2 linked regions of the Neodiprion lecontei genome follow. The protein of the gene in region 1 interacts with the protein of each later gene in a pairwise test. Links are inferred from orthologs where the notes say so. Each region holds a gene or a part of one and is shown in the gene's direction. Other genes may lie near its edges. The genes, in order: golgin subfamily A member 2 and cyclin-H.

Evidence for each region.
Region 2: the proteins of golgin subfamily A member 2 (region 1) and cyclin-H interact in binary tests that used the Homo sapiens proteins (3 or more experiments, as listed by UniProt). The link is inferred for Neodiprion lecontei from reciprocal best matches to the Homo sapiens genes GOLGA2 and CCNH.

The regions. Positions count from the first base shown.
Region 1 is NC_060261.1:34,108,044-34,125,526, forward strand, and holds golgin subfamily A member 2, read left to right. Parts: upstream 1-7,992; 5' UTR 7,993-8,400; coding exon 8,401-8,439; intron 8,440-8,626; coding exon 8,627-8,719; intron 8,720-8,826; coding exon 8,827-9,522; intron 9,523-9,620; coding exon 9,621-9,816; intron 9,817-9,917; coding exon 9,918-10,083; intron 10,084-10,167; coding exon 10,168-10,309; intron 10,310-10,424; coding exon 10,425-10,619; intron 10,620-10,737; coding exon 10,738-10,959; intron 10,960-11,037; coding exon 11,038-11,223; intron 11,224-11,298; coding exon 11,299-11,550; intron 11,551-11,629; coding exon 11,630-12,008; intron 12,009-12,083; coding exon 12,084-12,284; intron 12,285-12,410; coding exon 12,411-12,604; 3' UTR 12,605-12,939; downstream 12,940-17,483. Other genes in the region: transcription factor Dp-1, read left to right, coding at 404-452, 1,434-1,552, 2,137-2,203, 2,540-2,637, 3,090-3,253, 3,634-3,796, 3,980-4,341, 4,482-4,564 and 2 more; COP9 signalosome complex subunit 9, read right to left, coding at 7,109-7,146, 7,270-7,342, 7,598-7,666; 60S ribosomal protein L35, read right to left, coding at 13,081-13,312, 13,465-13,601, 13,853-13,855; heparin sulfate O-sulfotransferase, read left to right, coding at 14,752-14,863, 14,978-15,207, 15,452-15,537, 15,613-15,751, 15,833-15,930, 16,053-16,210, 16,393-16,604; N-terminal Xaa-Pro-Lys N-methyltransferase 1, read right to left, coding at 16,895-17,150, 17,273-17,381, 17,461-17,483. UniProt on the Homo sapiens protein: Peripheral membrane component of the cis-Golgi stack that acts as a membrane skeleton that maintains the structure of the Golgi apparatus, and as a vesicle thether that facilitates vesicle fusion to the Golgi membrane.
Region 2 is NC_060263.1:34,014,984-34,031,768, reverse strand, and holds the start of cyclin-H, read left to right. Parts: upstream 1-8,472; 5' UTR 8,473-8,587; coding exon 8,588-8,704; intron 8,705-9,314; coding exon 9,315-9,539; intron 9,540-9,669; coding exon 9,670-9,843; intron 9,844-10,041; coding exon 10,042-10,267; intron 10,268-10,368; coding exon 10,369-10,480; intron 10,481-10,643; coding exon 10,644-10,785; 3' UTR 10,786-10,794; exon of another isoform or gene 10,795-13,445; intron 13,446-16,785. UniProt on the Homo sapiens protein: Regulates CDK7, the catalytic subunit of the CDK-activating kinase (CAK) enzymatic complex. CAK activates the cyclin-associated kinases CDK1, CDK2, CDK4 and CDK6 by threonine phosphorylation.

The DNA.
Region 1 (17,483 bases):
CGGTAGACGGGGAACGATGAGGAACGGAGCGAACCACGTGATCAGCACTGGCCAATCAGCTGTTTAGCTTTGTGCTACCGCCAAGCTCGTCTCGGCTCTACTTGCACTAAAAAGCTGTATTTTACTGACGCGTTGTTAATGTCGTGATAACGATTCAACGAGAAGCTGTGTGTCGCGCACGATAGCGCGGTTAGTTTATTTTGATAATTCGCAATATTATTGATACTTGGTAACCGGGTTTTTACAATATTTACTTCACAAATAGTGCAATGCCGGAGTCGCCATTTTGGTGATACGTCGAGTCCGACCTAACTATTGCACTTATGATCTTTTTATTTTCACGCGAATTTCAGTCCGCTTACGGGATCATATTTGATACCTTCGATATCCAGAAGCATCAGTGATGACCCAGCAAAATAAAACGATGAATTTCTTGATACACGACGCAAATGGTAAGTCGTCCAACTGGCGCGCCAACAATCGGCACGCACGGCTCCGTCTCTGAATATTCCTTGTCGAATGAAGTGTGAAACAATACCTCGTGCGATCAACCGAGGAGCGCGTTTTCTAACCAAATTTCACGATTCTTATATTTCGCATATCCATTTCTATTTGGATTCGTCAATTTGATCGCAGGCTCCTTGCTAAACTCAATCACGTTAAAACGTGTGTTTCGCGTTTACTACCAGAATACCGCGAACGAAAGAATGCAATTTTTGCAATCTTTGTTTGTAACCGAATCTTACATTAATAATCTTGATCGAGATTTCTTTCTAAGGATTTACAGAATATCCCAATCACTTTCATTTACTTATCGATAACTAGAACATCCCACTGTATAGTTCTGGATTTCCTTACGTTAAACTTACAATTTACACATTGACACTGACAAATTCTCTGTTCTTTTATTGATATACTTGTGGAATCCATGAATAATAAACAAACATATTTAGTACTGCTCGCGTGATTGTAATTGGTTCACTTTCATTGAGAAATAGCTATTGGAAATTGAAGATTAATGTTAAATGATATTGCTGTTTGGTATTCCTATTTTAGTTAAACTAGCTGTATTGTTTTCACGTAATAACGTGTATTGATAATCAGTCGTACACTGAATATCATTCTTGTAGATCTCAATTAGGATATAAATAATTCATTATTGTTCTTCTTAGCAACAAGGGCATTCCTTATTTGCCTTCAAGATCAATCAGTTGATTTGCCTCTAAAATTTGTGTACTACAGCAGCATTGACTCTTGAAGGACGAATGCCATTCAATATGAAATCTTAAATATTTCAGTATTCCCTACTGCTAAACACTTGATACTACTCAGAAGAGCCATCTAATGTACATACATTAGTTGATTAACTGAAGTTTTGGATCATATAAAATTGTTAATCTGTGATATTTTAAAAAAAATAAACTTTCTTACAGGCCAACCACAAGTTATTAAAGTGGTTCCGAGCACGCCGAATAAAGCACTAACTGGGCTTGTTAGCACCACAAATTCCGGGAGTTTGAAGGTATTCAAGACACCTGGCCAAGATACCCAAGTAAATATCATTTAAAATATATAATCAGACTCGCAACATTTGTATCATTTTTCTAATAATTACCATATATTGAAAAATTGCTCTACCAATATTCAACAGGTTTGCAAACATATTTTAATTATGTTATACAATGAGTACAATCCATATTATTCTGCACTCCCATCTTGAATATTTTTTACGGTTCCCATTTGTATGACTACTGAGTATGGTTCATAAAGCTTTCTAAGATGACACTGAAGCTCATATTTATAGACCTATTCGGATGAGCTGATTCATATCACAATTTAACCCAATGGCCACAAACAGGAGTTCTCAAAACAAAAATTCAAACTGTCTCACAACATATAGTATTTCTGACGTGTGCTATCTTGTACATTTTTTAATCAAGGGATTCAATAGATGATACGCAGAATTATCCCCGCCTGCTAGTGTAAGCTTCCAGCTTCTAGCTTCAACTTTGTATTTACAGGGTGCCCAGTGGTCAGTTAAATGTGTAGCAATTCGGGGGATATTGAATCACTTAGTGAGTGGGCACCCTGGGTTCATTGTGATGATATTATGACCATTACTGTTTGCACACTCAGGTCTTGTCCAGTGGGACACAAGTACTGAGAACCATCAGTTTGCAAGGTTCTTCAACACCTGGTCAGCGTGAGTATTACAGATTCTTACCTAGTTTCTTGCAGTACATATTGACGGATCCTATGAAAACAGAAGTATTTCGATGGGTCGGATAGAACACTTATATTTTGCCGCGCAATCTAGAATGGATGTAACTTAAAAAGTGTTACAGCATGTCCATACAGAGCTCTATACACAACTTTTAGCATCTTTTAAGATAGATCCGTTTTAGGTTACCCAGTGAAATACGGCCTTTCTATCTGGACTGTCAAAATATGTTTGTTTCTATAGGACCCATCTATATATCTGTCTTTTCAGTTATCAGAAAGTTCACATTTCTCATGTAACAAAATATTTTTCTATTAGGCTTAGTTACCATCCCTGTACAAAGTGCAAAAATGTCATCTGTAAAAGCTGGGGAATCTGTAGTGACAAAAACAATACAACTTACAACTGCTCGAATGGTAGGTTACAACATCATGAGCATTGGGAAAATATGAATCAGGAGCTATTCAAAAAAGACATTAGCTTTTCCTGGGGGATCCTGGATTATGTGGTAGTAGCATAAAGCACACTGGTGGGGGTGCAGATGAACATAATGTTCAGTTACTGTAGGTAGATTTTTAATCATCTGCAGCCCAGGTTGATTTTATTAACGTTAGCTCTACTAGTGTGGTAATATTATATATTATATTAATTTTTATCATTTTGTTAAAAAGTTTCTATTGAAATGAGAGTTTGTATTTTCAGTATCTAAAAACTATCAGAAGTGGATTTGTTAAATATCAATTCAGGGGGATTAAAGTAAATGAATCCATTAAACAAAGTTGATGTATTTTTTGAATGGCCTCTGATAAGCTTGATTGGATTTTGTGTTATGATTTAATTTTTTTATTCAAATCTTTCCATTCAACAGAATGATTTTAAACAAGCGTTGGTATCCCAGCCTCAACAACAGGCCAGCAATCAACAGCAGATTGTCAAAGATCAATCTGGAAAGACTTTCATCAGCCCCATTTTGGATCACAGTGGTTCGAGGAAACGACAGGATGTCGAGAGCAGCGATTTTACCCCAGAGTAGTGAGCTTGGACTATTCTTAATAAAAAACTGAACCTTTTCCTGACGGGGTTTATCTCTGAATATTGAATGATGCACACGTTTGGTTTTGAAATACATATCACGATGAAATATCATAGAACTATTGATCGTCAAGTAGCACAATAAATTCACGAATCTTTCAAAAAGTTCAAAACAGAGGACAGTTTAGAAACTTATCTTTAAATAAAACATGAATCATTGATTTCAATTTGCAATGTGCAAACACATGTCACTGATATTATCTGACTTATTTATCTTAAAGCAGCGACAACTTTTAAGCATAGGATGCATATCAAAGTATGTGTCTGAAATCGGGAAAGGGTTCGTTTTCCAGATTAATAGATCTGTATTAAATTTACAGCAAACGGAGAAAAACAGAAAAAGTTGGAAAGGGGCTTCGCCATTTCTCTATGAAAGTCTGTGAAAAAGTGAAAAAGAAAGGTACGACATCATATAATGAAGTTGCTGATGAATTAGTTGGCGAATTCACCAACCCTGCGCACATAAATTCGTTAACTGATCAGGTAAATATCTTTTATCGTTGATATTTGGAACCTTGTTGTCTTTTCAGGCAACTCACAGATAGTGCTTCAAAGTTTGATCTTAGGTGCAAAAGTACATAGAGAAATGATCTCAGTCTTGCCAATGAGTGTCAAAATTTGCTTATTCAATTCCAATTTCACTCAGGATTAATATCTCTTTTGCAGCAGTACGATCAGAAAAATATTAGGAGACGTGTATACGATGCATTGAATGTATTGATGGCAATGAATATAATCTCCAAGGAGAAGAAGGAGATAAGATGGTTGGGTTTGCCCACAAATTCGTTGCAAGAGTGTTTGTCGTTAGAAAAAGATAAGAAAAAGAAAATAGAGAGAATCAAAGCCAAAACTCAGCAGCTGCATTCGTTAATTTTGCAGCACATATCGTACAAAAATTTAGTTGAACGCAACCATAAAAACGAGAATTTTCATGGACCACCTAAACCTAATTCTGCTATACAGTTGCCATTCATAATAGTTAATACCAGTAAGAAAACTGTTATTGATTGCAGTATTTCAAACGACAAGTAAGTGTCAGTCTTTCTTTTTCATGTAGTATTTTTTTACACAAAATTAGTTCATGTTTATAATTTATAGGAAAGTTCGATTTGCATATTTTACACGTATCTACGAGTAATGCTTCTTATAATATTTGTATTACTTTCAGAACCGAGTACCTGTTTAATTTTAATGATAAGTTTGAGATCCATGATGACATTGAAGTTCTGAAAAGAATGGGTTTAGCCTTTGGTAAATACTAATTTAATACTTTGTTCCAAATATTGATAAATTTGCACGAAAATCTCGGTACAAATGTACATTTGCTTCAGGCCTTGAGAAAGGAGAATGTACTGATGACGATTTACGGAAAGCAAAAACTATGGTACCAAAGTCCCTTGAAAAATACGTTGAGCGTAAGTAGCTCTAGTTACACTTGATTTTATTTTAAGGTAAAGGTGCTGTGGCATAAATCTAATATTATCAACTAATATCCATAGAATTGGCCTCTGGGGATTTGGAAAGATTCATTCCTGTTACAATTCCTGGGCCGAGTACATCGATGGATGAACTGGAAATAAAATTAGAGGAATCTGGATCTCGGCCACCTTCTTCTTCTCGTACCTCTCTCTCGGAAGATCCTTTGTCTCCACCTTCCCAGTTTTTCTCTGAGGAAGAAGATGAAGAAGAAGAAAGCGACCAGGACGATCAAGTCGACAGTGATCTTGAGGCTAACTAGCATATCCATTCATCATCCTCTTAACATATTTGGTAACCACGAAATTGGGCTTGCGGTGTCGTTTGAATTACACAAACGTAAAATCATTTTTATAGAAACACTTTGCATCACCAGGTGCTTTGTATTATTATTGCGCCACGTTGCCGAAATCGTTGGATGCAACGGATTGATTATACAGTGATTGAATTTTCATGCCTTCTCACTGAAATGGAGTCTCATACCTTACTTGGTTGGCTAATTTTTGCTGACGAAATAATCGAGACAATATCAAGGAATACATCTTAACATTGCCGAAACAATCTATTTTGGCTGTAGGAAGACTCCAGAATTACATTCATGTTTCAAAACAGCTGAAATTAAATTTTATATTACTGGAAGGTATATTGTGTTGCAGGTTGAGAAGTGTAATGAACTAATAACAGCGAGTAGGGTACATGTCACTTTCTTTCTTTTATGGAATAGCATAAGACTAATGCGTAAACGTCCGTAAATCGTATTTCATGCCACTTTGATTGTTATTGCTCGGATACGAAAGCGACGAGTTAGCTAACCGACGTGCACAGGGACTGAAATTCGGTGCTATTTTAATCATGCGTCGTGTCGTGAATTTAGACACTTTAGAATGTATGTACTATAAATAACACAATTATAATCTTACATTAATATTATTACATGTATAAAATATATCTATACCACTCATTTTCTTATGGCACGTTTATGATATCTGTGGTTCACAGCAGGACGCAATATAGCAAAGGAATACAGAGAGAGGTCTAACTAATTTGAAGTGAATAAATTGTAAAATTATTACAAGTGACTGTATATTTTTTTTTTCTTCAATTCAAGTTTTTAATACATTTTTATTATTTCTGCGTAACTTTACTATTCCGGATATAGAATGCCAAATTTTTATTTGAGCGCAATTTTTTCCGTTAGAAAACATATTTAATTCACTTGATATGGAAAATTCATTGAACTTTAAAAGATTACTTGTAGAAATTTATTTTATGCATACTGCTGTATCGATTTTGCGTATTTTATTGAATTAGTCTTTTACCCAAAATAGGAATTTATGTTGCAGTTCCAGTAATACAAAGTAATCATTAGCTACTTATTAATAATTAATATTCTTCAGTTTAGAAATTGTTATTATTAACAGGATTAAGTGTGATACGATTATTTAGAAATAGGTATTTACGTAATTTCTCTTATTTCCGAAATATTTCAACTCTTCGTTCCATTAATGAGCATCTTGTAAATGTTTAACATGGCTCAATGCGAATTTTGTTTTTGGATCGAAAAAATATTTTTGAATAATATATAATAATTGCAATCTATGATTAGGTTTGTAAATGATTTTAGAGGTCAGCTACCTACAAACATGTGTTACTGACAGTAACTGATCTGATACTGAATATGTATCATGAGGATAGGGTCTGTAAAGCAGCATCTTCGGACATATGTCAGAAAAGTGTATCTTGTACACAATAATTATTACAACATTTCACAAATAGCTGGATTAATTGAATGATTGTAAATAAATTTGGACCTCTCATTTATATTAATTGGTCGTTATTAAATTACTATGTTCATGCTATACTTAAGCTTGTCTGAATTTTTGCCATTATTTAGGCTAATGCAATTTTTAATTTTCAATTGATATATGAGGCATTATATTCTGGCTAGATGTAAATAGTTTTCAATGCCATTTAAACAAATTAGTTTCATCTTTAGTTAACTAGGTTCTTTCTATTATTAGCTACTTCTGGTTAACATGTGTGTGCTATATAGATACATTGCTCAGATTGTCACAGCATCCTAAAATCTGAGTTGTAAAGCAGTTCGTGATATTTTGCTTCATTAAGTTCATAATAATTCTCGCGAAGTGAAATGAATATTCAACAGAGTTATCTAACAATGATGAAACAAATATTTTTATAAGAACAGTTTATTCAGCATTGAGTGTTTCATTTTTTGTAACACAAATCATTATATCGGTATTACTCGAACTTATCAAGTTTGAAAGAATTTAAGACCTTTGTTGATCACAGTGTTCATCAGTTCAGATCCTCATCATCGAACAAATCATCGAAATCTAAAATAAATATAGTGTTTTTATCAATGCACATTTCCTGCAGCGCTTTTATAAAAGAATAAACCTTTTTGGCACAGAGTAAAATATATCTTCATCATTATTTGATACAAAACAAATTCTTACCATTGAAAAAGTCAGCATGCACCGCTTTTTCATTAGCAGCAAGATCCATCAACAATCCACTGGATCCACCAGCCTAAATAATGAAAAAAAAAAAACATCAATAACTTGCAGAGTATACAATTTTTTTTACTACCGAGCAATTTGATCTTGTTTGTCTGGCTGACGGTGTGAGGGTATTGGTCAGTGACGAGCAATTCTAAATCAATGCAATGCAGATATACAATCTAAGTGATCGTCAGCCCAGAAATTAAGTCACGTTTGACAGCTTTGGCACGATGGTTTACGATTTGAACGTATGTAATTTATGTTTTAGAATGTTTAACGGAACCTCTTCAAGATCCATATATGGACCAGCGCCTTCGGGGAACATTTCATCGGCCACAACAGTAGGTTTCATGTCGACACAATCAATTACTTGATTTGAAACAACAATTCGACGTAGAAATAGGATGAAAAATTCATATGCAATTGTTCTAGTTTAACCATTAAGTGTACATACCTATATGGAAACGTTGACTTGAGAATTCGTAATCAACGACAAAAAGAAAGAGATAGAATTACCAAGCAGTGGTCTCATTCTCTGAGTCGGTAACAGTAGGGAATTTCTGTAGTGCGAATTCAACTACAGAAAAAGTGTGCACCGAGTCCAAATTTCCTAGAATTCATCCAATAAACAGGCAAGAAAACCAGTGAAACCACACGTAAACGCACTTGTGAAGTTGAATTTGCCATAAGATTCTAAACTAAACCATTAGCGAAACAGCAGTGCTGCCTTTTATGCTCCGCATTTCGTATCGTGTTTCTCGTTTTCGTCAACGTCATCGTCCTCATAGGTAGAGAGGATCTTCCTCTCTGCCATAGCTTTCTCTTTTTAATCAAGGCTCACTGTGAGGTAGTAGTCCATCTCTATTAGCTATGGTGCACAAACACAAATGACTTAATACACCTGCATATCAGGACAATGTGTGTGAGTGGTGAAGTGGCACGTAGAGCGTAACCTCACAATGTTCTGTCATATTGTAATATTTTGCTCTATGTATTGTAAATAATTAATAGAATAAATATTGCGCGTGGATTCTGCACCAAGTACACTGTTTGCTCTTCGTACAGGTCAAAAACGAACCCTCAAAAATGAAAAAATCTGAAAAACTATTAGCAGCCAGAAAAAGGGTGAGAGCAGAGAAAATATAGTTATCTTTTCTGCGAACTTTTCGCTATTATTCATTACCGATAATTTCTAATCAAATGTTCGTTGTAATTACTTTGTGTAATATTTTCAAAATCGAAAATTGTAATGTACACACACAACTCACATGAATTAGTATCACATACTATAATGGATATTTCTGTATCATAGCTCAAGGAATTCCAAATGAGTAAAAGAAGTCACATGGCAGATGATACTTCAAAAGATGTAAACGAAAATACAGAAGAATCTACTCCGTCACAGGTGAAGAGAATTTCCGTTGTCCTTATTTAATCTGAACGAAGGTAATACCTTCATTAAAAAGTTTGATCTCTAACCATTAACATGGGGTTTACTTTATGTTTGTACAGATCGACAATACTCTTTATAACTCTGATAATAATTACAACTACCGGAAAATAGGGTCCCCAATAAAAGAGACTCAAACACCATCAATAGACAGCCAAGTTTCTGAAGCCCCTCAGCAAACTTCAGAATCGCATGATTTTTTGGAATTCAATTCCAATGGTGATATCACTTCTGCTGCTACAAAGCTGGTGAATTCTTCAAATCCTACTAGCGTTTTTCAAGACACTGTTGATTTCACTGTTCAAGAAAAACTGTCGGAAGGTTCCAGTATTATATCTAATTTCACAAATCTGACAGATGATGTTTCTAATAAACATCAAATTAATGACAATCTGATTAATGTTGAGAATTATTTTACCTCTCAAAATATAACGAATAAAACAGATGAAATTGATTTAGAGCAAGACATTTTATTAAAAAACGAGACACACAATGTAAATGCTCATGCAGAGTCAACTAATAATCGCAGTGGTTTACATACTGAGTATGAATCATTGGTCGGATCTCAGGCGTTGCAGAAAGAATATCTACTACAGATGACATCTGCCGTCACAAACATATTGTCAAGTGATATGGAGAGTAAAGACGTGCCACAAGAACTTACCTCTGATTTGGAAAAGAGAAATCAATTCTTGGCATTCTGCTTGCAAGAACAAAAAGAACTTGTTAACCGATTACATCTTGAAGTCAGCCAATATGTAAGTTTGGTGAAATCATTGGTTCAGACCAATTGACCAGCTAAAATCTTCATATTAAAAAATTATACAATTTCAATGAATTTTTTTTATATTCACAGAGGACGAGAGTGTCAGAACTAGAAATGATAATGACTACAAAGGATACAGAATTTGAAGCAAAGCTTTATCACGAATTGAATCCACTCAAAGAGCAATTACAACTTCATGCACAAACAACTGGCATTCTTGTAGGAGAAAAAGCTGAGCTTACTGCTGCCCTCGTTCAAAGTCAAACAACTACCAAGCAAAAAATTGGTAAAATTACTTATATTTTGTTAATATAGACTTGGTATTACACGCTAAAAGTAAAAATTTTATACAGTATAACAGATTGATAATCAATTACTTTTTATCAGCTGAAGTCGAAGAATTAAATGGAAAATTAAAATCGGTCCAACTCCAAGTCTCTGATTTAGAAAGGGAACTGAATTCTGTGAAAAATAGTAGCGAAGATGTCGGAAAAGTGAATAACCAGCTTCAATCTAGCTTCTACTCTTTAGAGGCGAAGTATTCTCAAGTGAAGTAAGTTTGCGCAGTCATGGGCCCTCATTATTAGTCTTTTATGACATATCATTGGATCTTTATTGGACGTTTTTATATTCTAAGACAAGAAAAAGACGACTTGGAATTAGAGACCGCTGAATTAAGGCAGAAATTAAATGTTAAAAATACTGAGTTAACTAACATTCAACAAGAATTGAAAGAAAAAACTGCCTTACTGTCCTTGAATGAACTCCGAATACAACAGGTACTTACAGTTTATTATAATCTCTATTCGGAACTCTATGATCAGACCTAAAATTGACCCGAAAATGTAGTGGAAATTAAGTGTCCAGCATGCCATATTCCAATCTAATACCTAATTACAGATGACTTCTACGACACAAGAAACCCAAGGTATCAGTGAGCAACACCATGTAGTAGCCGCACTGGAACAGCAGTTGAGCCAATTAATGGAAACTCTTAAAGCTGTCAGTAGTGAACGTGACGAAGCTAGTAACCATTACCAAAATTATGTTCAACAACTGAACAACCAAGTTACCACTCTTGCTCTGAAGGTAAGCCAACACGAATTTGCAATTTTGATTGCTGTTCTTAAATTATATTTAAATTGCAACGCTGATTACTGCAAATATTTTTCTGTTGCATCTTATTCATTTATTAATTATTTTTTAGCTCGAGCAAACTACAAAGGAGAATGCAGAAATAAGTAGTCGAGAGCACAGCCTTATTCAACGGTTGTCCGATCTAGAACGCCAAATACAAAGTCAGAAAGAAATACCTGAATCTACACCTCCTGTTATCAATGACAATAAAGAGCGAATTGATGAGTTAGTCAAAAATATTGATCAACTCACTTTAGAACGGGATAGTCTTCGAGCAACACTTCATGAAAAGGTGATTTAACTTTCTGGCTGAACTACAATAGTCCTCTAGAATGAAATTGAATATTTTACTTTGTTTTCTTCCATCTAGGATTCAGATATCGATGCACTCAAGCAAGAAATGGAAGAGTTGCAAGAAATGCGTGCAAGCAATGCTGAGGCGTCCCGTTTAGTCTCTGCTCTAGAAGGTGAAAGATTAGCGGCAGCTCGGGCTGTCTCTCAAAATCAACAGTTGAAACAGCAGTTGAGTGAAATGCAAGATGCTTTCGTACAACTTGTAAGTTAATTTAGAATAATTATTTAGTACATTGTCAAAGAAGCACAGTTTGTGAAAACAATTTTTTCACTATAGAGCAACACAAAACTTGATTTGACGGAGCAGTTACAAGGAGAGAGGTCGATTGGAAGAAAATTGAATGCTCGGTTGAATGACACTGAAAATGAAGTACAGAAATTGAAAGATGAAATGCAGGAAAAGGATTTACTCATGGCTGAGTTAGAGAAAGAAAAATTACACATGGCTCAAATTGCAGATCAAATGCAACACTATCAAGCTCAGTCTAATCAGGCTAGTACCTTGCAGCAAGAACTTCACAATGCGCAGGTAAATGTGACTAATTGGAACCATGAAATGTGCTTGTATACAAAATCAATTTGTTACCAATACAAACATTGGAATTTAGGAACGGATCGAAGTTTTAATGAAAGAAAATCAACAATTGATCAGCGAATTGAATGCTGGGACGATGTTGAATGATTCAACCGTTCAAAATCAAAACATTATACAGCCCAATGGTGAGTGTAACTTGCAAGCATTGAATGACGTGGAAAAACTAAAATTATCAACAGCAACAACACAGACTGACAATGAGTCGTATAGTATTGGTGACACGGCCCCGCCAATTAGCGAACAACAAGCAATGATGTCAGTTTCGCCCGAAGCTGTGAAAAAGTTGGAGGAACGATTTAAACATACTATGGAACGTGTTGCTGAACTCTCAGACGAAAAACAAAGATTGGAACATCTCGTTTTGCAGCTTCAAAGTGAAACCGAAACTATAGGTTAGCGTAGCCACACTGAACCGTTATATTTCAGGTGTAATAAAACCAGGATGTATAATTAAACATCTCTTTCAGGCGAATATGTTACATTGTATCAAAAGCAGCGTGGTGTCCTTCAAGAAAGGGCTAAAGAAAAGGAGGAAGCATTCCGCCAGTTGACAGAACAACGAAACACACAACAGGAACAGCTGCATAAACTCAAAATGCTTGTAGCTGAATTAATTAAAGAGAAAACTACGTCTACCACTACATCTGCATTATCGGATAGTACAAACGGTATATATTAATTCCTGTATTCAGTCCACATTGCTATTTCGATTACGGATTCTAAATGTTTGTTGGTTTTCTCGAATTTTTTTTTTTTTTTTATACATTGTTTCATTTTTAACATGTGTCTTCTAGAAGATGGTCTAGAAGCAAGCAAACACGTGGAAAACAAGACATCCTGTCAATCGGAAGTAGTTGCAGTCAAAGATAAAACTACGTCTCAAATTCTTGATCTTCTGACGGAAATTAAAGAATGCAAGGATACGTGTGCCTTGGAACCTAACTTCCATCCATGCCCATGGTGTTCAGGAAACTTGATTACAATTTAACCTTAAAACCAGTCATTAACTTATATTGCCTTAAAATTATTCAACTCTCAATTATTATGATTACTATAAACATATTCCTAAACAGAACATGTCAAAATTGTACATAAAATGTTGAAGTATTTCATAAATTTATACAATGTAGTACTTTCTTTTCAGTTTTCCTTTGTTCACTAACTTGCTTGTTTGCCAACTTATCGGCAGACTAAAAGTTATGAATTAAATTTTTTTTAAATTTACTCTCATATATAATTATTTCTAGGCTTTCAACAACAAAAAGTTCATTAATATTTTGATTATTTAACATAAACGGGTTGCAAGTAAATGTGAGCATTAAAAATAGCCGCTGGTCTTGTTGATGAATAAATTTACAAAGGAAAGGAATTGAAATGAGATATACACAAGTTAAATAAACTACCATAGAATAGTTTTATTGATAAATTTTGTTTTAATTTTTTGAGTAAGAAATTGAACTGTGTTTAAGCTTTCACGGCATATTTCCTGATGGGGAATGCAGATCGCTTGCGAATTTCTTTCAGAGTCTTACGACTCGCCTGGTAAGGAGTCAAGGCCCTGCGAATTGCTCTGGTCTTCTTTGGCCTCAAGTCTAAGGGCTTGTACTTCTTATTCTTGAACAAGCGTCGTAAATTCTCCTTTTGATACTGGTGCATAACAATGTACACACGAGCAATAGCTTTGCGAACGACGCGACTGAAGGTAAAGAGAAATTCATTGTAAATTAGGCAGCTTTAGTCATTCATTACATTTGACAATAACAGTAAACCGGCTACTACTTATCACATAAATATAACATAAGTGATTCAGAGCGAAAGATTAAACTATAAGGGGTTAGAACAGCTTACATTTTTGAGAGTTTGGAAGCGGCACCTCCTGTCACTTTGGCAACTCTCAAATTCGTCAATTCAGTTTTGAGCTCATCGAGCTGTTTGAGCAACTCCTTCTTGTCTTTCCTCCTCAGCTCGGAGCACTTGACCTTACCCTGAAATATCAATAGAACACTCACATAACGTCACGCTTAGAACACCTAAACAACAATTCCACATGGAAACCGCCAATGTAATAATGTTTTATTCAGGTTAAAAGAAAGAAGCAAGTCTAGATTATGGGTATGATTTTACAGACCGGCAATACGTAAAATTAACCTGAATTTGTGTATTTTATTTGTAAAATTATGTATGAAAATGGATTCTTTGGATAAATACGGATAACCGCAGTAAGAAATCCACAAACCATCTTGCTGCTGTTTGGCTTGAAGAAAGAGGGATTCGTGACCGGAACCTGGATTTTAGCTACAGGAAGTCAAGGATTTCAATTCAGTGGCCGTATGCATCAACACTTTTGTGTTCTTTCGTATAAAGCCATATGTCAAGTTAACAAAATTCAAAAAATTGACAAGACAAATATTCTTAACATATGAGTTAGTTTGGCTTAGAAATTTTTCAAATTCGAAAAATATTCTTTCATAAAGCATCTGTTAAATTACAAAACTTTATACCGACTTTACGTTAACGATGCTGACTTAAGAGTAGTTAATTATATCTCCCACAGAGCGCGCCGTCACCGAGACTAACTGTGAGTAGTTATTTATTGTAGAGATCTGAGGACTAGCATTAGCTCCGTAAGTGGTCGTAAAATTCAAAATTCGCCTGACGTCCTATATTACGGCAATCCTCTAAAGCATTTGATCGTGTTGCGTATAGCTTACGTGGTGTTTTCACTCGGCCATTGAGACCACAGAGATATATAAAAGACGTGTTCGAAAATTGACTGACAGTACGGTCAGCAATCTTTTATCTCTTTTGCGCTTCCAAGTTCGTGAATAGCTCTGACTCTGTCCTAGGGAATTTTGAGTACTGTCAGTCAATTTACGAACACGGCCAAAATAGAGCGTAAGCAACGGCGTAAGCGACCTGTGAACGGATTTGAATCGGTTCTTAAAGGACAGAAGATAATAATTCTCCCATCCTCTCTGTCTCTCTACCCATGGAGTGGGGCCAGGAGAGGGGAGAACAGCTAGGCTGCTGAGCTATGCATAAGTGTGTGTGACAGCGCTTTATTTTCATCGCTGACAGCGCGATGCTTGCATCGTTCGCTTGTCGCCTAACCTTGTTGCAATATTTTCGTTTAAAATGATAGTGAGAACATTTCCAGTACAGTGGTTTTTCGTGATAGTATTAATACTCTTAATTCTATATTTCAAAATAAGAATCAGTTACCTTGAAGAAAGTACTAAAATCCTGCGTAAGTATTTTTACTAATTTATCATTAATCAAATGTGATACAACTTTATGTTATATCACAGATGCATAGAAAATTATAGTCAAACAACGTTCAACCTGATTCTGTTAATTTCAGAAAATGCATTGGCTCAGATGGAAAAGCGAAACAACATCGAATCGCTTAGTCACACTGAGGACAGCCCATTATCAAGTGTCGATGATGTGGTCGTGATATACAACAGAGTACCAAAGACAGGCTCCACAAGTTTTGTGGGCATAGTATATGATCTATGCAAACAAAACAAGTATCATTCCTTACACATCAATGTCACCAACAACATGCATACACTTACTCTTCCAAATCAGGTATTTACTAAGAAACCATCTATTGCCCCAGGAGTTGACAGATAAATGTGCTAATTTTGATTGAAACAATCCAAACATCCAAAATTTTGTGCACAGTGTTTGACCTCTAATATACTGGTATAGAATCACGTGCACAAAACTGAAATGCATTGTTTTATTTAACAGAAGTTCAAATGTTTCGGTATTGAATGCATATATTTGAAGGAATTAAAATAGCGTTTACGATAATAGACTTATCTTTCAGGTACAATTTGTAAATAATATTACTCAATGGGATGCAATGAAACCAGCTTTTTATCATGGTCACGTAGCTTTTTTAAACTTTGAAAAGTGAGTATCTTTGTAAGTATGTGAGAACTTTGAGAGAAATTCAATATATTCAACGACTTAATTGATTATTTTCAGATTCGGAGTTAAGCGTACACCGTTGTATATAAATTTATTACGAAAACCTTTGGACAGATTCGTATCTTATTACTACTTTCTAAGATATGGAGATAATTTCCGACCACACTTAATAAGAAAAAAGCATGGCGACACCAAGGTATTATCAATTAGCATATTCCGCTTCTTTCTTCCTTGTAAGATTATCCTTTGTGAAGATAACATACCTTACATCTTACAGACATTCGACGAGTGCGTCAGACATGGACAACCTGACTGTGATCCAAACAATATGTGGCTTCAAGTTCCGTTCCTCTGTGGACACGAACCTGCTTGTTGGTATGAAGTTTTTACACTTAATATGCTTGGAAATCAATTGACTGAGAATTATTGTGCAATTTCTTATCTTTTATAATCACAAACGTATATTTAGTTGAATGTAATGATTTAATTGATTAAAGGGAAGTCGGTAATCCATGGGCAGTTGCAGAAGCTAAAAGAAATGTAGAAAAACACTACCTCCTAGTTGGAGTCACAGAAGAATTACCAGAATTTGTACAAACTCTTCAGGCTACACTACCACGATTTTTCAAAGGAGCCTATGATCACTTTATGCATAGTAAGACACGTGTTAGATATTAAGGATTGATAATAGTAAAGCATAGCATGTTTTAAAATTCAATCAAATTTTTAATAATTTTTCTAGTCTACTACTTTTATCCACTGGCAATGTCTTTACAATATAACGCAACTACAGTTTGTGATAATTTAAAAAAATCTCAAATCAATTAATTTTTTCAGATAGCAAGTCCCACTTACGACAAACTACCCAAAAAATTGACCCTCTCCCAGAAACTGTGAAGAAAATTCAAAATTCGCAAGTATGGCAGATGGAGAATGATTTATACATGCATGTTTTGGCTCATTTTCACGCAGTAAAAAAGCGTGTTATAAACTCAACGCCGCAGGAAGCGAATCAACACTTCATGTATGAAAAAATCAGACCAAAATGAAATTAAACTATGGTAAATTTAAGAGTATTGAAATATTTTTATTTAGTGAATCGACACTTTGTATCTGAAAAAATTAAACCAGTTGAGTATAAACTTTATTGAATTAAAAAGTGTTAAAATTTTTAAAAATTATTCTTGTGTATGGTTTTCAAGTGGTCTTTCTTGTTTTTCTTTACAATTTCATTCATATCAAAGAATTAAATATTAACAATCATCATATATATATATTTATTGTTGTGTGCAATGTCGGAATTAAACTGATCTATGTGATAATTGTGAACTATTTATTTCTACTGTAGTACATTGCTCACAGAATTCCGTATGATTTTTCTAGGTCGTAATATGAACATATAAACAGGATAAAGACCTCGTGGAAGTCTGGATTGTTTTTGTTCCTTTACAGAAGAAAATCCAGCCAGATCGAATAAACGTTGTAATTCCTTCAGTGGGCGTGTTACTGAGGAATCCTGTGTATCAACTTCAACGTTTTCAGAACTTGTTATATTTTCTTTTACTATTACCACGCCATTCTCTTTGAGTCCTGCCCTGTTGAATATATTTTACAAAGTTACAGATTACTATTTTACATTGTAAATTATACGGTAAATTCTCATTTCCACTGTAAATTACAATACTGAAACAAAATATGAATAGCAAATGTTACTAACTGACAGTGGCTGAAAAATTTTATAAAATCGTTATCTTGTAGATGTCCTAAAACCCATTGACACCATATGACATCATACTTCCCTACTTCAGGACAAAAGTTTTGCAGACCTGTAAGAGTAATATCCTGTAAAGTATTACATGTATTATATGTAAATTATTTAAGATTCTCAGGCTTTTACTTTCATACCTATGGGAAAAAATTCCCCAACT
Region 2 (16,785 bases), on another chromosome or scaffold:
CTGTGTGCACGGGGGATAACCACCCATATACCTATCAGGTTAATAACAGGAGTAATTTCACAAATGAGGTCGACCCGATCAAGCCGAGTGGCCCGCGTCATCCTTTCGAAAGTTCATCGAGGTTCTTCCTTAAATTTCCGTGTTTGCAACTATTCGACTTGTGAAACTTGCGGCTGTTTCTGCAAACCCTGGAACCCACCGCGTTGCGGTAATGCTTTTCGTAGGCGAATTTTCCGCACTGGATAAAGGAGCGCAACATTTAAGCTGTATCAGCTGTACGTTTCCACCGAAGAACCGTCTGCGTGAAACAAATTCTCACTCACTTGCGCACTCCCCGAGAGGGCCTCAGCATCGTTCGCTCGATGCGGCCATTTACCCTCTGAAACTAACTATGTCACGTTGTACTTTTAATTTATCGGACTGCCGCACTTTTAGAACACCCTCCGTTATGCAGGAACGCGGCCGGGGATTCACCGTTGACACTTTCAGTCGCGTGCTTTGGTAAATTGCGAGAGAAGACGAAGAAAATACTGGACAATTGATAGTAAGGACGCGCGTATCGCGATGCGAATGCCGATGTACGTGATCCGTACGTGAATCTCGGGTGTGACTTTCAAAACGACACTTGTCACGGTTACGATGCCACGGAGTTAGAGGCAGGAGCGAGTTTTCGAAGTTTCAGGTTTTATACTATTCACAACTGAATATTCTGTGAGGCACGATGCGGTTCTCCGCCACTCGGGGAACTTGCCTGGCGCTTAACCGGCCGAGAGGGGCATACTATGAAATTAGTATAATCACGATCAAAATTACCGGAGTTCTGCCGCAGAACCACCAACCGCCGGTCAAATAGCGCGCCTTGCACTCGCCAATCAGCGAACCGGGATCGGCGGCCATCTTGCACTCGGCTCGACTCCCATTGGACGACTCAAATTACCGCGAAAGTGGATAATGCGCGCGAGAAATTAACTTTGTTACCCGCTTTGCCTTGCTCCTTTATTATTCCGGTCTCAAGAACAACGAGGGCTGTCGATAGCTGGAGACTGCTAACGCGAAACAAAGCTCGGAATATTCTATACAAGGCTGAGATTTCGCTACTTCTTGGCCCCCTCGTTTTGCTATCATCATCCTCGATCGTTTGAATCTGCAGTTGCAGTCCAACTCAAGTGAACTAAAATTTCGTGTAACGATTCATGGAGACTGGCTCACGAATTCTCACCTTGAACTTGATCCCATTGACATTCTTGCCGACTTCAAAAGACGAGGAGAAAAAAGAGCACGCAGTGACACGCCAGACACCAAAACGGACACATCAACATCCTATCATGGGTTTCGGCGGAGAATGAATGTACCGATAATTTTGAATTCTTACGAAACAAAGGTACGTTTGTAAGATCAGGAGTTGAAAGCACGATGAAACAGTCCAGAAACTATAATCAAATTCTCAGTTCCAATTTCCTTAATTCTTCTGCCCATGCATCTGAATCCATGTCCCGTCTGTCCGCGGCTGTGAAAAACGTGATATGATACCGGGGTGTGGTAGATGCTGCATGTTAAAAGCGTCGCTGTGAAAATCAGCCTCAAGATAAAACGGCAGCTCGCTCATTAGCAGCGTATAATCCGACCGGGACAACTCAAGGTCTGGTTCATCGCCGGGAGAGAGATTGCTCTGGATGAGTGTTATACTTAGGTGTACTCACGAAGAGAATAAATATCACGCTAGAGTGTCGGCGGAGTTGTATAAACAATTAAACGGCCCCTCCTTCGGGGCCGGGCAGCGTACGTCGCGAACGTAGGAAACGCAGAGTCCAGAACGCAGCGGGAATACGGAGATGGAGAAACTGCATGGAACACGAAGCACGAATACGCATGAACGCAGAAGGAGAACGCAGGAGGCAGGAGGCGTTCTCGTTCGAACGAGAAGGCTCGCGGCTAGGGCGGAAACGCTCGCAGCTATACGCACCGGGATATATTTTAACATCACGCTATACGGTATCGCGGGCATACGTACGTGCATACCTATATCGGGTATAAAACATTTATTTGTATAATTACATGGTAGCGCTGCAACCGCGGGAGCTGTTGCCCTGCGTGCCGGCCGAAAGATTCCGGAGATATTAAAAACTATGGAAGAGCTACTATGTGTGGATCCGGAGAGCTCGATCTTCCTTATCCAGGGGTGAAGATCGCAACGTGGATTGCCCACGGAATTCCGGCCTTCGCACCGAACCCATCACCCAAATACTCTCTGGAACTTTCATTCCGGATTAGCCCATCTTCGTTCGATATCCGCACCGATCAGAAATTCATTCGGCAGGTCCTACATTCCTCTAAGGATCAGTTCCTCGCCCGTCGGATGGTTTCCAGACATCGGCAGTTTCGACCAAGCGACGGCAAAAGTCATTCAACTAAACATCTCCCGCATTGATCTGCTTTATATATACGAAGCGGAAGCAGACAGAATTACATAGTTCGTAAAAACAGGGGATGCGAAATGTTCCCATTGGTCTTACGCTAATTTTTTTCACCTACGAGTTCCCGAGTTTTCGTCTTTGATGATGTGGTTTTGGGTAACTGTCTCGATTCAATGAAAAACGAAACCTGAAGCAATGTTGTCTTGACCGCAAATATTACACCAATCATGCGTTTTCTCAACCCATTGGATTCTCTGTAGTTCTTCTTTCGTCTGTTGTCCAGACGTTCTAGACGTTTACCTCCATACTTGGTTCGAACCTGGGTCAGGTTATTTCATACTATGAAGATTTCCGCGAGCGATATTCCTTATCTACCTCACGGGATCGTTAATTTGCTTACGTAATTCTAGAGCAACGGGGTTTTTGTGTCAGGGTTCTTGCAGTGCCAGGTGAAACAGAAACCAAATCGCACCTGCATTTTTCTAAACACACCTCTTCCTCGTGGGTTTGAATCCCTGGCTTTTCTTTGGAAAGGTAACACCGCGGCAGCGAATGGTCATGATCGGATTGCTGAAATAGCCATTCCCCGGTGCATTCACCATGTTCCATTATACCTTCAATAGCACAAAGTGTGACGAATACCGGTTAACTGATAAGACCGTAAATTGATCTCCATCGTGGAAAACGTCGTCCCTTTTGTCGCCAAAGAGTAGCGCAAGGACCGGATTGAAGAGCTCGGCGTCAGGACGTCGGGCCTGCCATCCGCGAAGGATCGAGTGCTTAAGGTTCCCCTCGACGCGGAGCGCCGCGATTGCCTTGGGCGTCGGTTGCAGCAGCGGGTCTAGCCACCGCTCTGTCCTCTGTAATTATATCGTATACGTACTACCCTCCGTTCTTCCTTGTTGCTCCTCGTGTATTTTGTTCGAAGCTGGTCCTGCCCCGGGCCAAAGATGCGCTCGGCAGTCTGCTTCGAAGGCCTTCGGAGAACGGGCGAGCTCCGATCTCGCCAACGTTCCTCAGGCCCTCCCATCATCGGACCAAAATGACTAACTGCACCTCGTACTAGTGTCCAAAGCTCCGTACAGAGCGATTCAAAATTTAATATTTTCAAACCAGCTATATACCTGTAACATACGGTGCTTCGTTCTTAGCTACATCATTCTTTCACCCGCGGTTGCAAATGCTTCGACTTGTCTTCACAAAAGCTCCCTTTGAATCTTACGAAAACGGGTTACGAAACCAAACTTACTATATCATGTCGAGTACAGATTAATAGGTTAAGACTCTTTTGCAAACTTAATGTAAGTGCACCAGTTATTGACCCTGTTCAAGTTATTGACCTTTTTTTGTTGTATCTGTTTGATCCTTAGATCTAAAATTATCAGAAAATAAATTTGTAGCGTCTAATCATCTAGCAATTGGTTTTAGTTATCGAAAAATTCATAACCTCTGCCACAAGTTTATAATTTTGGAAAAAAAACTGGTCAATAATTGGTTCTAAACGTATCAATAACTGGTACACTTACATTATACACAAAATAACGGTAACTGATGTTCGTAGAAAATATTTCTCCGTGTATGCAATTAATGCTCATTACGTTACACAAGATGAAGATGGCTTACAATTCTGCAAACATGTGCTTGTAAGAGTACGGCGTTACACCAAGGTCGTAAATAGTTTAGCACGTATGCAGCGTTGTCGTTTGTCAGATCCCGTGACGTCATTGCGGTGGGAGTTATCGCGAGGGAATAAACGTTTCCACCCGGTGATGTATGGAAGATACGCGCATGCATTAAACATGCCGGGTGTACCTGTAAATAAGTTTTTGCGAAACTTATATGGCTCGAAGAGAAGGCCCACTCGTGCGGGGAGGCTTATATGGATTACGGAGGAAGGCTTCACGCAGCCGCGGCGCTGATACAGTAAGTGGTGTTGTAAAATACTGCCGGTCAGCACGACAACTTTCGTTTAAGTGCCAAAACAGATTTTTAATTGTAGGTCAAGAGCCGCGGGTTAATAATTATTCTCAACTAAATAAAGTGGAATTATTCATCTATCCGATGGGACGACGGAAACCACGAAACGTTGATTTAAGATTAAACTGTACAGCCCGATCATATTTCAGAAAGATTAAGTCCAGCCTAGATTCTACCCGAGTGACAAACATTTCCCAGCATTTTCCTCAGCCGCCATACTACAAAGTCTTCGCACCGTCAACAGGCGCGAATTACTAACCTGATAAATATCGTAATCGAAAAAATGCCGGTAAATTAACCGCACCTTCTCAGTCTGATTAAAACATTTTTTTATGTACCTTGGGATCGATTAATCGAACACCGCTCCGCGACCTAACTACAGACCTTTTTCGTTCACCTATCAGCTTGGCCAAGGCTCATCAAACGCACACTCGTGGGGTATGTGATTTGCGACTGCCCAAAATTGTCCTAGATCAAATATCAATCGGCCACGACTCGGCCGGAACTGTACATACAGTGTGCCATAAAATGGACGATGGTTGATCGGCGACCAATTCATACGCATGTTACAGGATGCATGAAAGCTTCACCTAATCCATCTCCCTAGTTCCGAAAACGTGGTTTACCGAATGACGAGTGACATTCAACAAGAGGTGTTAGCGTACCTCGGTAAGCTGACCGCCACTCTCCACCTTGCACATTCTGCGAAAAAGAAAAACGCTTATGACACCATAATTGTGTAGTATCCTGTAGGAAAATTAAACTCTTCGAAATCGAAACGAGAAGGGAACAACGCAACGCCGATGCCGACACACACACCATCACGCGTCTTGGGCCGACTTCTTCAAATTCCGCAGGACAAGTCGAAGTGCGGTGGAGTGGCAGCTGGCGGCCATTAATCTAATATTGTGGTCGCCGACGCCCCCGCGAGTACACGCTCGCGTGCACAACCGGCCCTCGCGCCCTCTTCCTGCCTCTCCTTCACCCCCCGTTCGCCACATCCCTTAACCGACTTGCCACACACCATCGACTGTCGGGGGACGACGGCAAGCACGCGGAAAGGAAGCAACGCTAATGCGGAATCAATGCAGGGGCTGCCGACTGCTGATGAGGGATGATTAAGGGGCTGGGGGGAGATTAGGTGTTACGACCAAACTCGATTACTTTCACACCTCGAGGTCTTTGAAACACCAAATTTCAATAAGAGATCGCGATGCAGTCGAAAGTCTGATCTGCCCCTTCGATCCTGAAGCTTCAAGATATTCAAAAGCTTTACCCTCACGTTTCGGGTGACGAAACGTTCGACTGTACTGATTGCGCTGTTAAAAATTTTTGTATGGAACTGCCTGCGCTGTAATGAAAGTTCTGTAATTTCACCATATGTTTACAGTTTAATCAATTTACATATAAAATAAATTTACTACACAATTTAGTGAATTCGAATTACTTTCTTGTCTTTTTCATGTAAATTTTAGTAAAATGAAAAATTTTCCTTGTAAACTTAAGACAAACGCATAGTAATTTACGTTACTGCACCGAATTTGTAAATTTGTTGTCTAATTTCGTAAATTGACAATTCTTTTGTACAGTAAATGTCTAGTAAATTCACAATAATTTTCAACGGTATCTGACACATATCCCGTATTTTGTCGCATCGAATGAAATTTTGCACAGTAAATGTAAATCATAATTACATTTGAGCATCGTGATTCCGAGAAACATGCAAGTTTTCAAGAAAAACTTGCTACCTGGAAAGTAATTTCTGCAGAACCGTTTCAAAGGCCATCGAAGAGGGCGTTGTGCCTGTGTCTAGGACTATCGATCGAGCACTAGAATTGAACTTCTTTGGCAGAAGCACCGTCATTAGCTTCCATCAGGGAAAGAATAATTCCAATCGTGGCCAAGGTGCACGCCAAAGGTGCATCAGTTGGATTTAGCGTGAGGCGCCGCAGCCGTTGATTGTTAAGCCGGCGTCGGCCGAGGCGGAGTTTCTGACTTGCCGTCGGTAATGCTTTCGAATCTCGAGCTACACCGTTAACAGCTAACCACTATAAAACTGAGCTCGATCATTTTTCTTTCTTGGAATCTCCCGAGTCGAAGAAACGCTTCAAATAATTCATAATTTATACAGTATCGAGTATGATTTTTATTACGTTGAAGCTCTGCGACGTTGTCGATTTGACCGTGAGAAAATTACAGAATTCGACCGATATATAATATGTCGCGATATTGCTGCAGTCAGCCTCTAATGTCTAATGTTAGACTTCACGCACAGCCTGACGGACCATTCGACATCCTTGCAACTATTACACGTGGGCATTTACGAGTTTAAAGCAGCAGGTAAACTCCGACGAGTAAAAGGTCTGTATCCGACAATCAGATTGAGATTCGTTCGGCTGCGATAAGATCACAACAACCGTGACTAACGAAAGGTGCCAAGACCGCCTTCCGCAGAAGAGCGTTTTGAGATTGGCGATTCGCGATTTGGGAATGGGAGGCGTGCATATGGATTGAAATTTACTTTGCAAAACTCGGCTCGTTACGCGAATGAATTTTTATTATTCCCCCGGAAGTCGGATGACCCCGATGAGTTCTTGAAGGTTTCCCCAACTGTCGATACTAATTAAGACGGGGTTGGGATGTAACACCTGCCGACAGGGTCAAATGTGATACAAACACAATTCGAGCTTACAACCAGTAATCAAGCGGTGACTTGCAATTCATAATCGCTTTAGTCGATTATACGACATGATATCAGCCGCCGTAAATTCGTCAGTCATACTTTCATAAAAAGAAAAGGTCAACGAGGTCAATTATTGCGAGACGAACAAGTAGCATTTAATATCAAACATGAATATTATTTATGCAATACCGCGAAAAGATAAATCGCAATTTGAACACTCTTCTTAAGACTCTCATCGTGAGTATAGTCGTTAATTACACATCGAGTCGTTTTTAGTACATAATAGAAGTCATATTCGTTAATTAAGACGATAGTGACGACTTTGCTCAAAATTGCAGACAATAGGCAACGCAACGTATAGCGATTGTTTACCCGAAAACAGCCTTCGACTTATAACATGGGACATTTAATGCGACATATTAAAAACTGCTTTATTACAACTTTTGCTCGATGAATTAGGCCTAATTTATATACCATGACATCCACCTGCGGGATAATTCAGCTCATTTCGAGAACTTGAAATCCAACAACGCGCGAAATATATCGTTCTACCAACGGAATATTAATTATACTCTACATGTATGAAGTATCGCATAACGATATCAGTGTTCATGATTGTGATTAATTTATTCCCGTAATATTCCCTAACTTCTCGATATACTCGGAATCCAAGGATTTTTATAACCGACTGCACTGCAGAGTAGCGAGCTCTATCCGTAGCTTCGTGAAGTCTTTGAAGCAACACCAATTGACCAGCTTTATATGAAACACCTGCAGGAACGCTACTATACCGATACAAATTAAACACTTTGTGTCATTTGTATAAGCTATTGGAGATTTCCCTGAACATTAATATCAAAAAGATGATAAGTTTCTTCCATCGAAATTTAAATGTTCCTGTACCGATTCATGATTTGTTCGCACATTTTCTTTGCTCAACCCAATAAGTAGTTTCAATTCGATCGGTGGTGTATTAAAGGTTTTCTTTCATATAGCTATCCATTCGCTATTTTTTAAACTATTTAGTTTTATTCAGGCGATAGTAATTTCATTTGTAACTTTATTCGCATGTATTATAAAGTTTTAATAATAAGAAAATTTCAAATCCTCCCGCGCCTCCGCAGCGTTATCTAGTACAGAAATACATTGGCTGAAGTATATTCTTTCAATATAAAACAATATATATTTCAGATATACAACGCATATGCGTTGACTGAAGACTATCAGTCAACGGCATATGCCAAACCTGGCAGCGTGATGACAGTACCCGGCGTATTCAAGTTTACCGCCAAGCCCCAGCGGCCATTGCTGATTGCTGAAACCACGAAGTAGCTGAAACTGACCAGTGAGCAGGAGTCTCATTTGACGCCATTGCTCAGTGAGCACTAGTGAGCAGCGCAACAGGAAGCGGTAGGAAGGCATTGGAGGACAAAGACGTTCGTCGCAGGGTATCTGATTAGGGAGTCTTTTACGGTGCGATTCAGCTGCTCACGCGATATTAAATATATTGAAAATGTTTCCAATGAGCTCTCAAAAGATGTACTGGATATTCAGTGATGAAAATGACATCACGGAACTTCGCGAGAAGACTAACTCGGAATTCATCGAGAAGCATGGCGTGAACGTGCCGGTGAGTGTTTATTCCAGTTTATTCTATCTCCCAATCGATATATCTATAGCTATAACCCAAAAAGCGTGTTTTGTCAATTCGAAAGAAATTACTCGACAAAAGCCAGTTCATACAAAGTTATGGATAATTATATCAGCTTCGAACAGCGTGCGTTTTAACATTTGATTCACCAATCGAAAATATTCCATCTTTCGCAAGCAAATCTCCGTACTCTCTAATCGTCTTTTATTTTGACATACGTATCAATTACGTGATGAACATTCCGCGCGATTGCAAAGCAATTACGGTGTTACCCGGTGGATAAATTTATTTGAGAATTTTAATTATACACAACGTGTACTGGAGAACACGCTATTTTGAATCTTTGATCGTACATAAATGCTCACGCAGTTTGTTGATTAAATACCTATAAACTTGGGGACGCCAAATAATGGCGGTAAAAATGTCTTCACCGTTTGTGGGAAGAAGACTGATATTTATACGGACATAAAAATTCTTGCCTAATATTCGATCGGCATGCTCTGTGTAAATGTTGTCCCATACATTTGCGTTTCCGTCAAGGAGTAATACTTTGTCTTTGAAAAATGGTTCGTTCTTTCCACTCGTACAGCGCGATCAAAGAGAGGAGCATTTCCTAACGACTTCGGAAGAACGGATATTACTCAAATTCTATGAATTACAACTCCGAGACTTCTGTCGCAGATTTGTTCCGCCCATGCCAAGACCTACCGTAGCAACTGCGCTTCACTACTTCAAGAGGTTCTATTTAAGGAACAGCGTTATGGATTACCATCCTAAGGAAATCCTTGTCACGTGCGTCTACCTTGGCTGCAAGGCAAGTATTTGTAATATGAATACAATTTAACATACTTGCAGAGATGACTTGCAATTAACTTTTTTTTATTGCGATGAACAAAACTTCAACTGTTTCCAGATTTTATTATTTTTTCAATTCTCTTTCTTAGGTAGAAGAATTCAATGTCTCAATATCCCAGTTCGTAGCGAATATCAAAGGAGACAGAGAAAAGGCATCAGACATCATTTTAAACAACGAATTGTTACTCATGCAGCAGCTCAACTATAACCTGACTGTCCATAATCCTTTCAGGCCTGTAGAGGGCTTGATGATCGATATAAAGGTGAGTGTAGCTTACGAAGGGAATCTACTTATTTTCCAAGCTGCAGAATCATTGGCTGAAATTTTTATCTCTTATTTTGTAAATTTCTCTTGACAATTCAGTTTTAACTTAAGCCCTTATTTCTGCTATTCATGGTTCACTCATCAAGATCATATCGAGCCTTTTGTAATTTTCTATTAATTTTTCCTGTGTTTTTAGACCAGATGCACATCACTTGAAAATCCAGAGAAGCTCAGACCGCATATCGACGATTTTCTTGAAAGAGTGTTTCTCACAGATAGTATTCTGATTTACGCTCCGAGTCAAATTGCTTTGGCTGCCACCTTGCACGCAGCGTCGAGAGCTGCTGCTAATCTAGACAATTACGTAACAGACACACTGTTCTCGAGGGAACATTTGCCAGGAATCATCGAGGCTGTTAGAAGTAAGTCGATCATAATCGTTTTTGGGGATGTTTCATCATCTTCGTCATTTTTCTTCTGACACATTATCACCGATTGTAACTATGTCATATTAAATTTTCAGAAATAAGATCAATGGCCAAGTGTGTTGAGCCTCCAACAAGAGAAGTGGTCCGGTCTCTCGAGAAGAAACTGGACAAGTGCCGAAATCAAGCGAATAATCCAGACAGTGAAATGTAAGCCTTGCATTCACGAATTTTTGCCAAACATTTTTTCCGCACGTAAGGCTGGTCTTCAAATTCAAGTACCAAATGCCAGTTCGAAACATCTAATTGTGCTACTTAAGTTATTACATTTTACTTCTTCACTTAACTGTGTACCTTTACTTAACTTTTTCAGTTACAAACAAAGAATGCAGGACATGCTGGACGAGGATGATTTACGGGATAATGAAAAATACGCAAAAATCATTCAAGACCAAGCAGAGCATGACGAGAAAGTATTGGGCGTGAGTAAATCTCTATCTCCATCGGCGTTGTAGCATCGAAAGGTTTGCCACTAAATTTCTCAAAAGACTTCAACTTACGAAAATAAGTAATCTTTAAGCACAGGGCGTAGAGGACTGTGTGATATTTCACACTTATCATCGTTTCATATTCAGTCAGTTGCACTAGCATATCTTGCTTCTTTTGTGCTACATCTTGTTTTCATTTCTTTGAAATTACGAAAAGTGATCTACAAAATTTGAGTATTCACTGCAAATCCTGATTGAACCCATATGATTCAATTGTATTCGACAGTGTCACTCATAATGTTCAAGACAACAGTTTAACATTTTCCACCCCATGTTTTAATCATTTTGGGTGTCTAGCGACATGATAAAGTTGATAATTCTCTAAAACTTGTAAAATGAATCTAGTTTCTTGAATTTTGTACTATTAACTTTCTTTTACAACTAGACTCTGAAGGTAAAATTCTGCTATATAAATAAAAACTAGCGAAGCTCTCAATAAAGTCTATATTTCATAACATATACAATACTTAAAAGCAATGAACACCACTTTATTTTTGTAGATGAAAATAGTGTTTTTGAAAATTGAAATCCTTGAAGAATTATAAACTGTATCACAACTGGATATCCCCTTAATTTCAATTTTGAAGTAGACTCAGGCAGCAATAAAACTTTATTCCTAACTTAACCGTAATGGCCACTTTATTGACCTGCAAAGGCCGACAAAAGTAGCTTATCATTCCCTCTTGTACTTTTCTCCGCAAATTTTTTTTTTTTTTTGTTCCCTTGTTTTTCCCTTAAATGCGGTTTCAACTTTTAAAGTCAATAAAGTTGCGACAGTCAAGTCCGGAATAAAGTCCTATATGCAATACGGCTATAAAGACTATTATTTCTTTATCACATAATGTGCTATTAAAGACAGTAAAATAAAAAAAACTAGAAACAAAATAGAATAATTGTTTCTCAGTTACTGTCAAAAATTGTGCATCTCTAACGACTACAATCTCGGGGCGTAGTACATAGGTATTCATTTTGTAATTATAAGCTTCCAATATCTCCAGTACCTTATAAAATATGTTCGTACCCAAAGCAATGATTTTTCACTAAATCGTAAACTAATGTAAATCAGCTGGCCGAAACGCGTGTATGGGGCATTCCACGTCAAGTCAGCCACCTCCAGGCCTCACTACCTTTGATTTCATTCTTCTAGGATTTTGTTATACCATGCGAAAGTGGTGTCTCTGATTTATTTAAAAATTTTCGGAGCCTCCGTTCCGGAGTTCTTGCAAGCCTAAATTTTACGATATTCAAAAATTTACGAACTTTTAATCGATGATACCTCCAAATTGAACAATCGTATCAAAAACAGTAAGGTGGTGTTTCGATTCGTCTTGAATTCAAGTGTTTGAAAAAAAAATGTTTTGCAGATATTTTCCGCGACGTTTAAGCTGTCGTAACTGATGTTCAAATAAAAAAATCAAAATTCCATCAAGTATATTATTTTTGAAAATTTTGAAACATTTTTTTTTCGGTTGACGAAGTTGACGTGGAATGCCCCATATACAAACTAATGGATAACAAATATGCGAATTATTCGGAGTACCTTAGGTAGAGGAAAACAATGTTCAATTTACGTTGTCCTAATGAATCAGTTAATTGGAATCTGAGTATCCGGTGCAATCGGCGTACAAAACTATTTACTTGATTGCTTTATCTGCTTGAAGATTTCTCAAATAACACTGTAAAATTTAACGCTACGCTACAACACCCGTGTTTTGCTTATCATCCAATTACTACATTTTTATTTCAAATGTGTAATCAACACCTGAAGTTTCCAATTTAGAAAATCGAAACCTAAGTCCACCGTGGCTTTTGGTACTGAAACAGCCACAAAGATTACATAACCACGTATCTCCTTAGTTCGCAGTTGAAATGATAGGGTGGCGACAGACTGGGAAACCCGGGAATAGTCAGGGAATTTCGTATATTGGAAAAAGACCGGGAAAAATCAAAGAATTATGATGGACTATAAAGAAAAACGTACTTTTTCTATAAATCGTTTTCAAACTTCAGCTGAGCTTCGTAAATTCAGTTAAGCTAACCGTCTAAAATGGTATCGTTCAATTTCTAAGTATTTGTGTGAAACTAAGCAATACTATGTGCTTTTTAGATCCAAATTTATATATTCAAGGTGCGGAACTTCTGGAGCTTTTCGTCATAAAAGCTGCTCCACATTACCTATGTTTTGTGGAAAAACGTTAGAGAATTCTGCATTTTTTAACCCTAGACGGGGCAACCTAATTTTTATACTTTCTACGGGGTAACTGGGGCATCGGAGTACCCCAAGCGTTTCCAAACAATACAAGCCTTTCTAGTTCCAATAAGATAGGTTTATTATGCATCATTTTCGTCGTTTTTTAATCAGAAACACGAAGGTATATATTAAAATCCCTTTCCTTTGAGATGAAAACGAGAAGAACTTGTTTAAAGCAAAAAAAAAAAAGGGCGGTGAAGAGCTAAAAATGACTTTTTTCAGTCAAAATAGTCTCATTCTTTTTCTAATTAACCGATTTCCAAAACTCCAACGGGATTTGAAAGGGAGTACACTGAGCCTTGAGATGAAATGGTGTATCGATTCATTTTTTTCAAAAAGTATAATTATTTATTTATCCGAAAACTGAAAATAACAAAAAGCCGTAAATGGGTGAAGTCAATGAAAAATTACATATTGCATCTTTTTTTCAACTTTGAATGAATTTTTTATTCAACAAATAATTTTTATAAATATAGAAAATAACCATCGAGGCTTAATGGTATACCGATCGGTTTATAGTGGCACAAATTTCACAAAAGATTGAACTGTGCTCGTCACAGACAGGTCGGTTACAGTTTTCGTAGAAAGTTTTTACTTTTCGGTCGGCTGGTCGTGGACAAATGGCACGTCTTACTTTTTATCCAGCCCGAGGTTTATCATTTCCATCCCCCTCTGAGTCCGAATCGTACATCATTTCTACATAATCTTCCTCTTCGTCATCTTCCGACAGCATATCAACAGCCAACTCTGTTTTTTCCGAAAGCGCCTCACTGGCCGATTTAGTCCTTGGTGTGAACACTGAATCTTTTAGGGAAGTTTTTGGAGTTTTATAGGCTTTGAAAAAATCTGAAAAAATTCTGGGTTAGGTACTTCTTGAAGTGTCTACTACATGGCCCAGAAGTTGTTTAACCCTAGGACCCTAGACTATCTGTATGAAACAAATACTCTACATACGGGTTACGCGCACCCCAGAACTTGAAGTCACCGTTGCTAGAGGACTGTTTGTCGTAGAGAGTTTTTTTCTTTTCCAATTGAACGCTGAAAGACTGAATAATGGAATAGGATATGCGACAAAAACCTATTATGACATTTTCGTCTTAAAAAATGCGATTGAATAAAGTAAGAAAAATGATTTCAGCTTTGTAGGAAATAATATATAAGATAACGAAGCTATCTTTCGAATAAGTTATAATGTCAATCGTATTAAATGTATATTGTAATATTCAATGGAATACTTCTTAAAATTCTACGTTAAATGTGTGAATACAAGTATATTGAAGCTTTGCAACCGCGTAAGTGTAGTAATGCTCGATATGCACGGTATTCAATCGATGTGAACTCTCCGAGGCGTCGTCACGTAATGCCCCTTTGACACCCGCTTTCTAGACCCACCGCATTCGATTCGTCACCCGTCTAATCTCAATGTCTATGTTCTGGCTCTCGAAATATTATCGGCTTCCCTGCCTCACCGCCGTGGTCCATACCAAGACGTTGACTTCATTCGGCCTTCCTAGATTTTACGACGTCCTCGTCGTAGCTTCGTCCACCTGTCAATCTGAAAATAAACGTCCACCACACGAAATTATCAAAATTTCCGTATATAGCAAGACAATAGGCGGGTGCGGCGTTCACTCCGAAATCAGAGTGATCAAGTCCGATCCAAGAGTTTCAGCCACCTCTCGTCATTGTCTAAATACATTTGGGCTACTATCATTCGCCCCACAAGGTTACTATCATTCGCCTGTTTCGATTACTATCATTCATCGAAATTCCAACGTGGCCTTACCAGTACTATGCCGTAGCATCAAAAATGACCCACGGACTCAGCTGATCCACTGCCACTACCGTTCGTTGCCCTGGCGTCTTCTTCATGTCCCTGAGGTCCTCGACCTCGTACCGGTCATTTGGTAAGACCGCCCTGACCTTGAACGGCCCCTTGGCCTTAGCATTCAGCTTCCGGCTCTCGCCCGTGGCAGGCGCAGCGCTGGATTTCCACATGACAACGTCGCCGACCGCGTGCCGGGGAAGTTTAAACCTTTTCGCATCAAACGCTCTTTTCTGCCTCCCTTGCTCTACAGCGATGTTGTCCTTTGCCATCTTCCGCAACTCTTCCAAGTCCACCTGATCCAAGGTCTCCTGAATTGCAGATATCAACACCGCATCGGCGATACTGCGAGGTTTGAATCCATACAGCAGTCTTCATGGCGTACTTCGCGTACTTCGGTTCGTGGTATTATTTATGGCACTCTGAACCTTCTTTACGGGCTGCTTGTTTTCCAGCCCAGTGCCGGCGTTAGAGGGACTGATACCCTGGGCAAGAATATTTTGGCGCCCACTTAAGGAAATCAAAATCGAGAGTTAATTTTTTTCTGAACCAATGTGAACGTGTATTAAGAATTCTATCTTTCCTTTAGCGTGACCCAGAGCTAACGACGTGGACGTAGAAAGTTATGTAGCTCCTCTTTGTTTTTTTCATATTTTTTATTGTTTTTTTTGTTTTTTTTTTCATTTTTTTTTTTGTTGATTTTCTTTTTTTGTTATCCAAAATTTGTTTTTGCATGAATTTAATGCACATTTTATATTTTAATTACTCTTCATTTTGATTTAATACTTTGTTAATTTTTGAATAACTTTCTTCCTTTTTTTTGTACTGTTCTTTAGTAAAATTTTACTTTTCGGGCCTTTTTGTCAGCAAATACACGAATTAAACTAGAAAAATCCAATTGTTCAACGATTTCATTTTCAATCGACAGAGTAGCCAAGTTAGAGAGTCTCGATTGAGAGGTTGTTGATCGGAGATACGTTTTTATTAATTTTAGTTTAGAAAAACTGCGTTCTCCACTTGCAACTGTAACCGGAATCGTTGCAAAAATCCGGAATGCAATCCATACATTTGAATAAAGTTCTTGAATATTCCGCTGTCGTATAAAGTTGAAACTTGACTTTCAAAGTACCTTTGCTGATATAATGAGAGACGAATTATATTCCTCTGCGATTTGTCTCCACGCCTCTTCTTTATCTTTAAGCGTTGATGTATCGCTTTTTTTGTTCTCTATTAGATATGTGCGAAAATTTCTTCAAAATGTTGAGGAACAGACGCTTCTCAGTTTCCGTATAGTGTTTTTTTCCGGACATGTTTATACCCCTACGAAGAAACATTTTAACCATAAAATGCTTTTATCTCGAAATTTTATTATTAAATAATCACGTTAGAAAATTAATATATATTTAAATTATCACATTGCTTTCATCATGATAGAAAAAATTATAATTTACCCATAATTGAATACTTACAGTTGACAAATGTTGGGTAGATAGAAAAACGTTTTTCTTGGATGACGATTTTTGGCTTAATTTATTGACTCTTGTATGAAACTGTAAAAATAACTTAGCCCACGTGACTTCGAGGGAAAAAATCCCGCGAAAAGTTAATTCTTGTTTGTGCCACTGGCGTGACAAGTGATTTCCACAGATATTCTGATTGGCCAATACAGCGGAAAAATCACGGAAGTAGCCGAATGGCACTTGAGAACTTCTCAAGCAATTGCTCGAATAAGTCATTCTTAAGCAAATTCTGGACCCATTTACTTAATAAAGCAAATCTTATTCTCTGACTGTGAATTCATGCAGTCTTCAGATCAGCTTATATGAATAAGCAAGTCTTATCCAAGTCAAGCTTAAGATCTTTCTCAAGACTCGACTGTGAATACGGCCCT